Oryzias latipes: one gene and its partners. The protein of the gene in region 1 interacts with the protein of each later gene in a pairwise test. Links are inferred from orthologs where the notes say so. Each region holds a gene or a part of one and is shown in the gene's direction. Other genes may lie near its edges.

What was found.
Region 2: the proteins of itsn1 (region 1) and AP-1 complex subunit beta-1 interact in binary tests that used the Homo sapiens proteins (3 or more experiments, as listed by UniProt). The link is inferred for Oryzias latipes from reciprocal best matches to the Homo sapiens genes ITSN1 and AP2B1.
Region 3: the proteins of itsn1 (region 1) and wbp11 interact in a two-hybrid assay, tested with the Homo sapiens proteins (2 studies listed by BioGRID and IntAct). The link is inferred for Oryzias latipes from reciprocal best matches to the Homo sapiens genes ITSN1 and WBP11.

The regions. Positions count from the first base shown.
Region 1 is NC_019873.2:615,966-619,477, forward strand, and holds part of itsn1 (intersectin-1), read left to right. Parts: intron 1-49; coding exon 50-171; intron 172-1,849; coding exon 1,850-1,973; intron 1,974-3,512. UniProt on the Homo sapiens protein: Adapter protein that provides a link between the endocytic membrane traffic and the actin assembly machinery. Acts as a guanine nucleotide exchange factor (GEF) for CDC42, and thereby stimulates actin nucleation mediated by WASL and the ARP2/3 complex.
Region 2 is NC_019872.2:25,024,206-25,028,147, forward strand, and holds the start of AP-1 complex subunit beta-1, read left to right. Parts: upstream 1-1,131; 5' UTR 1,132-1,262; intron 1,263-3,942. UniProt on the Homo sapiens protein: Component of the adaptor protein complex 2 (AP-2). Adaptor protein complexes function in protein transport via transport vesicles in different membrane traffic pathways.
Region 3 is NC_019866.2:20,478,063-20,482,328, forward strand, and holds the start of wbp11 (WW domain-binding protein 11), read left to right. Parts: upstream 1-1,455; 5' UTR 1,456-1,622; intron 1,623-2,008; 5' UTR 2,009-2,031; coding exon 2,032-2,095; intron 2,096-2,175; coding exon 2,176-2,207; intron 2,208-2,315; coding exon 2,316-2,409; intron 2,410-2,641; coding exon 2,642-2,838; intron 2,839-3,060; coding exon 3,061-3,191; intron 3,192-3,271; coding exon 3,272-3,438; intron 3,439-3,523; coding exon 3,524-3,709; intron 3,710-3,808; coding exon 3,809-3,928; intron 3,929-4,030; coding exon 4,031-4,266. UniProt on the Homo sapiens protein: Activates pre-mRNA splicing. May inhibit PP1 phosphatase activity.

The DNA.
Region 1 (3,512 bases):
CATAGATCTTGGAACTCATCAGTCACGATGTTCCTGCTTGTTCTTTCAGAGATTGCTCAGGTGATCGCCCCCTACACTGCAACAGGGCCAGAGCAGCTGACACTGGCTCCGGGACAGCTGATCCTCATTAGGAAGAAGAATCCAGGGGGTTGGTGGGAGGGTGAGCTGCAGGTAACTAGACTGAACTTCAGTAGAGACGTTTCTGTTACAAGGGTACACTCCATACGTATTAGGATGAACACAATAGCAGAAAAAAGCTTAGAGGTTATAATGATATGAAAAACTCTGTTCAGGAAGGACCTTCTCCACCATGACATGCCGTCAACTTGTTCTTCAGAGCTGCTGGTCTTAACAGGTTTATTCAGAAAACATTTCTTCTCCCTGAACAGCAAATGCTACTTTAAGGACAATGAAGTCACATTCTGAACAGTGAGTACAGATGGTTTAAAAAGGAGTCACTCACTGGCCACTTTATCAGGTCCACCTTGCTAGGACCGGGTTGGACCCCCTTTTGCCTTCAGAACTGCCTTAATCCTTGGTGGCAGAGATTCAATCATTGTCATGTTCAAGAAACCAGTCTGAGATGATTCCAGACTAGCGCTTTATCCGTCTGGATGTAGCCATCAGAAGATGGGAGACTGTGGTCAGAAAGGGATGGACATGGTCAGCAACAATACTGGAGGCTGTGGTGTTGGAACCATCCTCAATTGGTACTAAGAGCCTCAAAGAGACCCAAGAAAATATCTCCCACACCATGATACTACCACCACCACCAGCCCTATATGCTTATACAAGGCAGGATGGCTCCATGCTTTTATGTTGTTGACGCCAATTTCTGACCCTACAATCCAAACGTTGCAACAGAAATGGAGACTCATCAGACCAGAAACAGTTTTTCCAATCTTCTGTGGTCCAGTTTTGGTGAGTCTGTGTGAATTGTAGCCTCAGTTTCCTGTTCTTAGCTGACAGGAGTGGCATCCAGTTTGGTCTTTTGCTGCTTTAGTCCATCTGCTTCAAGGTTGGAGGTGTTGTGTGTTCAGAGATGCTCTTCTGGAGACCTCAGTAACCAGTTCTTCTTTAAGTTCCTGTTGTCTTTCTATCAGCTGGAACCGGTCTGGCCATTCCCCTCTGACCTCTGGCATCAACAAGGCCTTTCCGCCCACTGAACTGCCGCTCACTGGCCACATTCAGTCACTTCAGTCACCTTTTTTCCCCAGTCTGAGGCTCAGTTTGAACTGCAGCAGACTGTCTTGACCGTGACTAAATGCCTAAATGTAATGAGTTCTGCTGCTGCTGTGTGATTGGCTGATTAGAAATGGCCTTAATGAGAAGTTGGACAGGTGTGCCGGTGAGTGTATGTCTAAACGGAGAAACCTTCCCTCAAGTCTGAAACATATTTTGTCATTAAGCTACTATTCTGTTTGAAATCTCAGCCAAAGAAAGTGGGGTGTAATTTACAACTGACACAAATAAACAAAGCCCCATCCACTCAGTCTATGGTACTTCAGCTGATGATTCTGACGTGAATGTCTATATTCTTATGTGCTGAAGTGTGCTCATCACTTCAAAGCATCAGCTTTTCAACAATAGCAACATCTGCAGACCACACACACACACACACACAGACACACAGCAGATAGGACCATAACAGATACTGGAATGATACATGAAAAATCTCCAATACCACCAAAAGTCCAGCTGCTCTGAAGAATTCGTAAAGGTTTTTTTTTTTTTTTCAAAAGACAACGATTAGGTTTGTAATGATTAAAACAAACTGTCCACATTGCAGCTTTGGTTGTTGACGTGCATTTAATAAACAACCACAATGACAAATCTTCTCTGGGTGCAGGCTCGAGGGAAAAAGAGACAGATAGGCTGGTTTCCTGCCAATTATGTCAAGCTGCTGAGCCCCAGCACCAGCAAGACCACTCCCACTGAGCCAAATGCCTCCAAACTGGCCCCTCCCACCACAGGTACACATTCTGACAGTTACAGGGTTTAGCCCTGCATAACCCATTGTTTGACTCAAAAAGAAAGTGGATTTGTGTGAACACCGCTGACATGTAGCTACAGTTAAAACATGCCAAACACTTTACATAAAACACAATTATTTGTCCACCTCAGTTTCTTTAAGAAACCATTAACCTAAAATGAAATTACCTGAAACCGACAGCTAAAAATATTTGGAAAAATTAACAAAAAATCACTTTGATTTGATTTCTTGTTCAACTGATTCAACAAATTAACAGTCTTGGTCAAAAAGGATTTTTTTAAAACAGTTTTTAAATAAAAGATGGGTAACATGCAGGTGTTTCCTTAGCATAACAAGTGTTCTCAAGCCTGCAATCAGTTTGCTGGTCTTACAACAACCTCTTAGCTGTTTGGTAACATATTGTGTATCACACCAGGAAAAGACCACTGACAGACTAGTTTGTTTGGATATTTAAGAGAAAATCTTGAATGTGATAGACCTCCCAAAGACATTCAAGGTCACAGCTGAGCTGAAATTAAAGATCTCTAAATGTGTGCTATGATGTTCTAAAGCAGTGGTCCCAAACACTTTTGAGGAACTTTGTGACAACCTGCACACAATAAAACAAAAATAATGTTAACATACATTATTTCTGTTTTATTTTCTGATTCTGAAAGGAGTTTTATTTTGGAAAACCACCAGATTCTGTCCCCCACGTTTGTCGTTTGACTTACTATTGACACATGCCAAGACGTTGGTCACAGATCTCAGATATATTTGCTACCTTCTTGAAGCGACTGCTCTGATCGCTAACTAAGAGCCCACAGCTAGCAAAGTTAACAAATCCAAATGTCTTAAGAGAGTTTCTCTGGGCAGAAGAGAGCAAGTGAGGAACTTGAAGAAGTGCTTTCAAATTCAAAGAAAAAAATCATCTGCATTTAACATAAGACTTAATTAAATTATGGATTTTTTGCAAGACTTGTTTCCATACCCCAAGCTTATTCCTCTGCACAATATGCAGCAACCAACTCCCTTATGTTACAAATATGCTGCTAATAAAGTTGCAAATAAAAGTTTTATAATGGTATCATTTTATTTTGTAGTTTTTGTCCCTCCAAACCTTAAAAGTCAGATGAGGCTAAAGTTGGTGTTCAGTGGCTAGCAGGTTAAAGGTAAATCTAGGTTTGGCACAAAACCTAGACTACAAAGAAAGTTTAAACCGACTACATTGTACAGAGAACAAAGATGCTGATTTATGGAAACTTGCCAAAAGGTCATTTAAGAATTTTCCAACAGCAAAGCTAAGTAAAGAAGGTACCTGTTAAGAAACTTTACCACAGATAGGACTGCTCTATATTAAAGAGAAATCAGTATTTCAAGATTTAATAAAAAAAACTAGATATAAAGCATTATCTGAGTTACTGCAAGTGTGAATGCTGTAAGCAGAATGTGGCTGCTAAAGAGCCTGAGGCCCCTAGGGAAGTGGGGAAAAGGCAGTTTTCCCAAGCTCTGTGCAGATCCTGGGAACAAAGAGGACAAA
Region 2 (3,942 bases), on another chromosome or scaffold:
CATACCAACTTTCAGTTAAAGACATTTAGCTTTTTTCTCATTTAAACTCAGTTAAATTATTATTGATCTGCCCCTTAACAGTACAAAACTATTGTTACAGTCTACTGTAAAAATAGAAATTGAAATCCTCCTGAAACATCTTTTTCACAAATCAAGCAATCTCTATAGTCTTCTCCTTCTTTTTAGAGCCGGTCTTAAGGATCTCGTCATTCTCATTTGATCAGCCTATGCACAATTTATGCATCTGTTCTTTTGCTATACTTGATACAGGGATGAATGGTGCTTGGTTCAGAATAGGATTTTAAAAACGATGCCAGTTTGGCTAAAAGAGATCATGTTCTCAGGATTACTGTCAGGAAAAAAAAATCAGCTGATTTTAATTTGTTGGGGTAGTTTTTGCATTTTATTGCATATAATTCTACAAATAAATGTTTTTGCTACAAAATATTTGAAGTTTCATTGTTGTTATACATTTGTTATTTTAATTAAAGCAACATCCTTTTTTTTTTTAAAACAAACCCAACTTTTTATGTCATTTTTATAATTTTGAAGCCACACTGTATATAAGTTACAGGTGAAAAATAAAGTATTGGTTTCATGGATTGTGGTAGTTGACCCTAATGGGCTTTTGATAAAGCTTAATTGATTTCTTTGCTGTTTGTATGCTGTTTCTCAGTGAATATCAAATGAAAAAAAAATAGATTTTTATCTTTTGTGAAGCGTCATTTAGTTAAGAAACTAATGCATTTTATTTTTAGAGAACGTGTTCTTTGATTTTATGAGGATTTACAACACTGACCTAGGTTAGAAAGGCTTTTATGTGCTTGCAATTTAATCTTTAACTATGTAAAAAAGATTGTAATTTGCATTTTTTTCTTTTAAACTATCAATAATATAAACACCTGCAGTCTTGCACGTTTACTTGTTAAAAGTAAGATGCTCTGATAGTTTAAAACAACAAAACAACTAGCAAATAAAAACACCAACATGAACATGGCTTAAAAAATTGTCATTAATTAAGCTTCATTTTTGTTTTAAAATAAACGGTTGGGTCAGAGTTTGTGCTCCAAATCATGAAAAAAAAATTGATTTCATGTTCACACGCCCACTTTTCTGCACTCCAGTAGGAAGTTTTCCAGTTTCCTACGATCGTGAACTCACCATCTATATCCCGATTCTCCATCTTTTTCCCCACCAAGCACAGGACCAACCTACGTCTTCGACCTCTTGGACTATTTTCCGGCTCACGTAACCGCAGCCAGGTATTGAACATGAAACTGTTAAAAATGAAATACAAGTAGATATCTACACGTTTGTTTTGATTATACTTTTGAGGGAGGTGGCACAGTGACAGTCCAGCGGCAGAGTAGCTCCGTTCGTCGGTCGGTGATGTGATGAAACTGGGCCGCTTCTCGCTATTCATTTCAATGTGGAGGTTCGACTGAAAATAAACGCGTCACATACAGTTGCAAAGAAACTGTCGAAATAAGTACCCTGACATTTGTGTAAATTTGCATTTTGACACTTCGTCACTGAAGTGTAAAGGACGATGATGGTTAGCCTTTTTAGCTAATGCTAGCGAAGTGTAACGGCTGTGGCTCAACTCTAGCTAACGTTTTGTTTCGGAGAGGACAAACGGTGAAAAATGCCGATTTTGTTGTCGCAACTTGTAAAAGATTATTGGTTTAGCTTTCAAACCGGAGCGGCGAGTTGAAACCGGAAAACAAATTTGCTTAATGTGCAAAAATTAGCAGCATATCGCTCCGTTGTAGAAGAAGTTAGGGCGTGCAGCCACCATCATTCATTATTGGTAAACGTGTTACTTTTGTTTCTTTGTGGATTTATTGTAAAGACTCCGATATTTCCCGCTCAGCCGTAGATCACTAACTATCATATTTATTTATTATTGCAAAAGACAAACTGCCAATGTTGTATGAATGGTTCTTGCATGGGTGGCACTATTAAACACAAGTTCTCTCCTCATAACTTATTTATTTGGAACAACAAATATTAATATTATACAAGAAAAAATCTTTGTTTTTCCCCACATTGGTTTGAGAAAAGAATTCTACTGGTGGGCCAACTTTTTAACATGAACGGGCATTTATTAAGGTATACTGAATTCAACTCTAAATACAATCTGGTTGTGACTTCTAAAGAATATGCCATTGTGTTTGAAACCGTTTCCAAAGAAATATGCCAAATGTTTAAAACAACTGTTAGGAATGAAGAAATGCCCTCTATGGATGCAACTGACACCACCACAGGAAAAATCTGCTTTAATCCCTCACACTAGAACAAAAAACATAAAAGTACTTGTAATTTCTCTGGGACGTCATTTCTGTGCCATGTACTAAAACCTACTGGACATGTTTTGTTCCCGATGGTATTTGGAGGAAAGGTTGGAGTGTGACCCAAACATTTATGATAAATAATAAAATGAATGAAGTTTCTTTTAAAATAATTCACGAAATTTACCCCACCAATCAATTCATGCTAAGATGCATTAAATCAATTGTACCTTTTGCAAAACACAACCAGAAACAATTGGCCACCTTTTTTGGAATTGTACTGAAATTAGAATTTTTTTGGAAAAAGTGTTTACAATTGATCAGAAATCATATTCACCCCAACTTCACTCTGAAATTTGAATATATAATTTTTGGCTTTCATAATAAAAACTTGGACTCAAATAAAAAACTCATAAGTAATCTTATTATTACATTTGGCAGATTTTATATTCATAAACGCAAATTTTCTTCCTCTTCTATATTATCCCCTCTGTTAATCAAACAAATTGAAATGTATCTCAGTAACATCTCTAAAAGCCTTAATCAAAAAGCTGTATGTTTGTATGAAGGTTGTAGAAACCTGAATATTTTTATGTAAAATGCATGTAATATGTATGCTCCCCAGGCATATCTGAAGATTACTTTGCAAAATTGTGTTTTGGATTGTACTTACGTTTTGTACAATAAAGTTTTTTTTTTAAAGTAAAATAAAATGTTGTATGAATGGGGCTTTCTTCCAATCTTACTGATAAATCTATTGGTGATGCATTTTAGGACTTCTGTAAACAATCTAAAAACCAAACAATGGCTGTTTTATTGTGAAAAACTACACCCTGCTGGACTCTTTAGTCAATATGTTGGTGTGGAAAAGAGTTGTGCATTGGGAGATATTTTCTGGGATTCTGTCCTGGTGTATTTTTGTGACTCTTGTTTAGCATGTGTAAGGCAAGGATCATGCCATTGAATGAAAAGTTATTCAATATTGTTATGCTTTGCACGCCAAATACACATGAGAGTATAAAACTGTGTATATATTTTCTTAAACACTGTGTTATCATAATAAATTATTAAAATATTCTAAAAGTCGACTTTTAGAAAAAATCTGTCCAGACAGGTTTAACATAGTCTGTCCAATTTGACCATTTCTTATAAAACCTGTCTGAATTTGAATTAAGAATGAAAGCTTTTCCATAATGTCAATATTGTGAGTATAGTGACCCACTCCTCTGTTATTGGGGTTTGCTGTTTGTAGCATCTTTTTGTTTTGCAGCTTTTTGCACTTGCTGCCAGCAAGTTATGTTAAGTACAAGCATGTTAAGTACGTTTTTATCCAAAAAGTTAAATCCATCCCAAGTCCAGTTACAAAGATATGTAGTGTTTAATAAAACATATGCACATTTTTATACGGTACTCTCATGTGTATTTGGAGTGCAGAACATAACAATATTGAATACGTTTTCATTCATTCACATAATCATGTCTTGTTCATACTAAACAGCAGTCACAAATGTACACGTAAAAGCAATCTTAAACACTTTCTGCAAATGTGTGTGGGTTTCAACCCAGTATTTTTTGAACAGCTGAACAGTCCCAGAATATATGAAAGTGCTTCCACATCTCCAGCTTGCATCTCCACTGCTCTCATGCCACT
Region 3 (4,266 bases), on another chromosome or scaffold:
AATAATAAAACGTCGTTAAATTTAGCACAACCATGATATGCAGTAGGGATGCAACGTTTCACGTTCCCCATGATACAGTCGAATGTTTTTACACACAGTATGATCTTAGAATGCAATGCACGGCCAAAAGATAGAAATAGAATGAGAACAAATATTTCATCAAAGCATGCGACTTCGTACCATAAAAATGTCTATAAGTCTTTTGCCAGTTTTGTGTTGTGGGTGTGGGTCATTTGGCCTTCCAATCCTAATTACTGACATGTTTTAAAACTAAATACACATTTTTTAATTTAAATTTTAAACTAATTACACTTACATTACAATGAAGACACCATAACACTGAGACTTCACTTGCTCTCGTGTTCACATAGTTGTCAACTGTATCATTATTCTGTGGCCAATATTCTGTGGTCTCCAGCTCAGAGGCCTTGTGGTGGAGGGGTTGTGGTGGAGGTTGTGAGTTCAAATCCACCGCTGAGTCAGATCAAAGACTTTGAAAATGGGACCCAATAACTTCCTGCTCAACACCCAGCATGAAGCGGTTGAATTGGAGGGTTAAACTACCAAATTGTCCTTGATAACATTGTTCCGGAGAACGAATTTCCCCCACCTTGGTGCATGGCAGCTAATGGGACTTTAAAGAAACAGCTGATTTACCACAACCCTTACACTCCTCTTACACCTCCCCACCACAAACACACAACAAAACGATGAAGACGTGGGAGCTCAAAGCCTTCTTCTTCAATGATGTTCTGGTGTATGGCAGCATCATTGGGAAGGTTATCCGTTTAGATGAGCAGCTTCCCCATCTGCATCAGTCAGAAAGAGAAAATGAGCTGTCACAGTTAACCTGAATCTTAACTAAACCTAAGAGCAACAGTTCAATTCCATGTAAACAATACTACTAGCTCTCAGCCAGAAAGGCCAAGTGGGCCCCATATGGTTTAAAAGTGAGCAGAAAATGTGGGCAATTGTCTGCAGTTTCTGTGGTGGCCTCACATTGGCTTAAGTGGGCATTCGGTGAACTGGTCCACTTTTTCTGCCCACTTTTAAACATATTTTGCCCACTTGGCCTTTCTGGCTGGAATCGGTGCTTGTTATTGTCATTGCTTGAAAAATATGTCATTCTATTTTTTAAAAATGTTTTAAACATCACATCATCATGCATTTTTTCATATTGTTAATATTAGTACTCGGTAGTTAGCAATGGCAGTATATTGTGTTTCCATTCTCTTAAAATGGCAAAAAACAATCAAACAAACACACATTTTAATAAATAAAATACTTTATAAATATTTTATTTTGTCAGGCAAATACTAAAGGTCGGCATTTGATTACAAAAAAGAAGATGTTTGGCCATAAAATTAGCAAATAACAAAAACTTTCAAACAAACTAAAAATACTCAACAAAAAGTATCTTATTTTGAAATTTTATGACGTCAAAATCGTGTTTCCGCTTTTGCCCGCGCCAGTAAACATGGCGGACGGCTAACGTTGCATTCATACACATTTAGCCCTAAAGTGTTGGGTTTTCTTTCGGTTGTGGCTTTATTTTTTTGCTTTAGGTGTCACGGAGAGCGTGACAAACCCATCGTGGTCCACCAGGTTTTCCTGAAGTAAAGGTAGAGGCGGCGTTGACTAATTTGTTGCAGTTGATGCTAAAACGGGCGTAGCCACAAGTGCAAGCTAACGCGCTAAGCTAGCGAATCTCTGCTGGAGTCCAAGCTTTTTGCTTCGATATGCTTTGCCAGCAGCCTGAATTCCTTCTTTGTTTTACCAAATTATGTAAAAATAAGAGCCAAGAGTTCCGTGTTTACCTGCTAGCTCAACTATTATAAAGAGAAACAGTTAAACTTCCTTCAAATATTAATTTAGCTTTGTGGGATCATAAAACTTACCATCAGTTTGGTATAAAACAGTAACATCAAGGCACTCTAACCACATTTTAGAATATGATTGTAGTTTTTGTTTGTTTACCTCATTACATCGTTTATTCTGCACTGGTTAGGTTAAACGAGACTGACCGCAACAATGGGGCGACGTTCAACCTCCTCCACCAAGAGTGGGAAGTTCATGAATCCCACCGACCAGGCCAGTAAGTACCGACCCGTGCGAGCAGTGATGATCAGATCCAGTCAACATGACTCATTTGTGTTTGTGTTACCTACCTTACAGGGAAAGAGGCGAGGAAAAGGGAGTTAAAAAAGGTACTTGGACTGTTAAGCTGAATATTTGTTGGCTTTTTTTATTCATTCATTTTTTTTTTCTAAACAATTTTATTCTGGATTGCATTTCTTTGCTTTTTCTTTGCACAGAACAAGAAGCAGAGGATGATGGTAAGAGCAGCAGTGTTGAAAATGAAGGATCCCAGACAGATCATCAGAGATATGGAGAAGCTAGATGAGATGGGTAAGCAGCTCCTATTTGCTTTTTTCACTTTATTTTACATCTTTAACCTCCTAGAACCCAAGTTAATCTTTGAGCTGACTCTCTACACACATAGTCATGTAGCCTCAGTTAAGCAGAATTAACTACTGCGGTATTATAACCCATAAATTGATGTCCATGCATGTGGATAAGCTTTTGAGTCACTCTCCATCCTAATTTAAAATAACATTTTGATTCTTTTTCTTGTCTGCAGAGTTTAACCCAGTTCAACAGCCTCTGCTGAATGAGAAAGTACTGAGGGACAAGAGGAAGAAGCTGCGTGAGACATTTGAGCGCATCATCCATTTGTACGAGAGGGAGAACCCGGAAACTTACAAGGAGCTGCGCAAACTGGAACTGGACTACGAGACCAAGCGAGGCCAGCTGGCTCTTTATTTTGATTCAGTGAAGGTAGCTTTAGTTCTTCCTGATCCTTTTTCCTTCCTTTGTTCACTTAAAGATCCTTTATTCTTTTCTTAAAGTATTAATTACCTTTTGAAAAATTTTAAATTAGGTTTTACCTCCAAGTCACACACACAGTTTGGTTTATTTCAAGTCTTTTTGGCTTTTTTTTTTTTTTTTTTTTTTTTTTTTTCTAGTTGCAGGTGTTAATATTTGCATTTTTTCCTCCAGAATGCCGAGTCAGTGGAGGTCGACAGTATTCCTTTACCTGACATGCCCCACGCTCCTTCAAATATTCACATCCAAGACATCCCATTGCCAGGGGCGCAGCCTCCCTCCATTCTGAAGAAGACCCCTTTTGGGTTGGTTTTGTTCAAGTTTCTCTTCCTGCATTCTGTGGGATGTAATATGTTATTTATTGTTCTCATTTTGTTTTTCATAGCAAGCCACTTCTTTCTTCATCCACTGGACCGGTGATGGCATCAGTACCTGGTGTCCCGCGTTTACCTCCAGGAAAGAAGCCACCAGGGCCCCCACCTGGACCCCCACCTCCTCAGGTCCTGGCTCTCTATGGAATTCCTTCTCGGAGAGCTTACAGCACAAAAGCCGGTAACATTCAGACACATCTATGTCAGTGTGTGTGTGTTTTTTTTAAATCTCCTGCTCCTCTTACCTTTTCTTTTTCTCTGCAAAGAATCCTCCATTCCTGGTTTAGATAGAGACGTGGAAATGGAAAGGGATCAGGACAGTGGCAGTGAGAGCGACAGAGATGACCGGGACGATGACAGCGACTCTGAGGAAGACAGCGAGGAAGAGCGAGAAGGAGGGGACAACGAGCGGCAAGATGACGACAAAAAGAGGGAGGAGAACAAAGACAGAGGTAAAAAAAAAGGAAACAAAGATGCTGATCAGCATCCCTGAGTGCATTTTTTTTAATATAATGTCTTGTGTTTTTTTCTCCGGCTCGTATTCCCGGCAGGTCGGAGTGTGCGTTTTGCAGACATGCCAGCGGAAGGAGATGGGAAGAAAAAGAAGAAAAGAGTTGTGAAAAAGAGCAAAGCCATCACTCCTCTGCAGGCCATGATGTTGAGGATGGCAGGTGAGGACGAGGGCCACATCCACATCTCTACAGCATTACAGCTGCCTTTTATTCTCAATATATTTAAATATTTATATCTATTCGCTGCTTTTCTCTTCTCAGGTCAGTCGATTCCTGAGGAGGATGAAGACGAAGAAGAAGAGGAAGAATATACGGATGGATCTGACAGCTCTGACACAGAGGAGAGGGGATCAAAGGGAGAAAAGCAGCCTCATTCTTTGGCTGGTCAGAATCTGCCTCCTACTGCCGGAAATGTGGCACAGCAAGGTCCTCCACCCATGCAAGGTCCTCCAATGACTGGACCTCCACCTCTCGGCCCACCTCCAGCTCCTCCAATG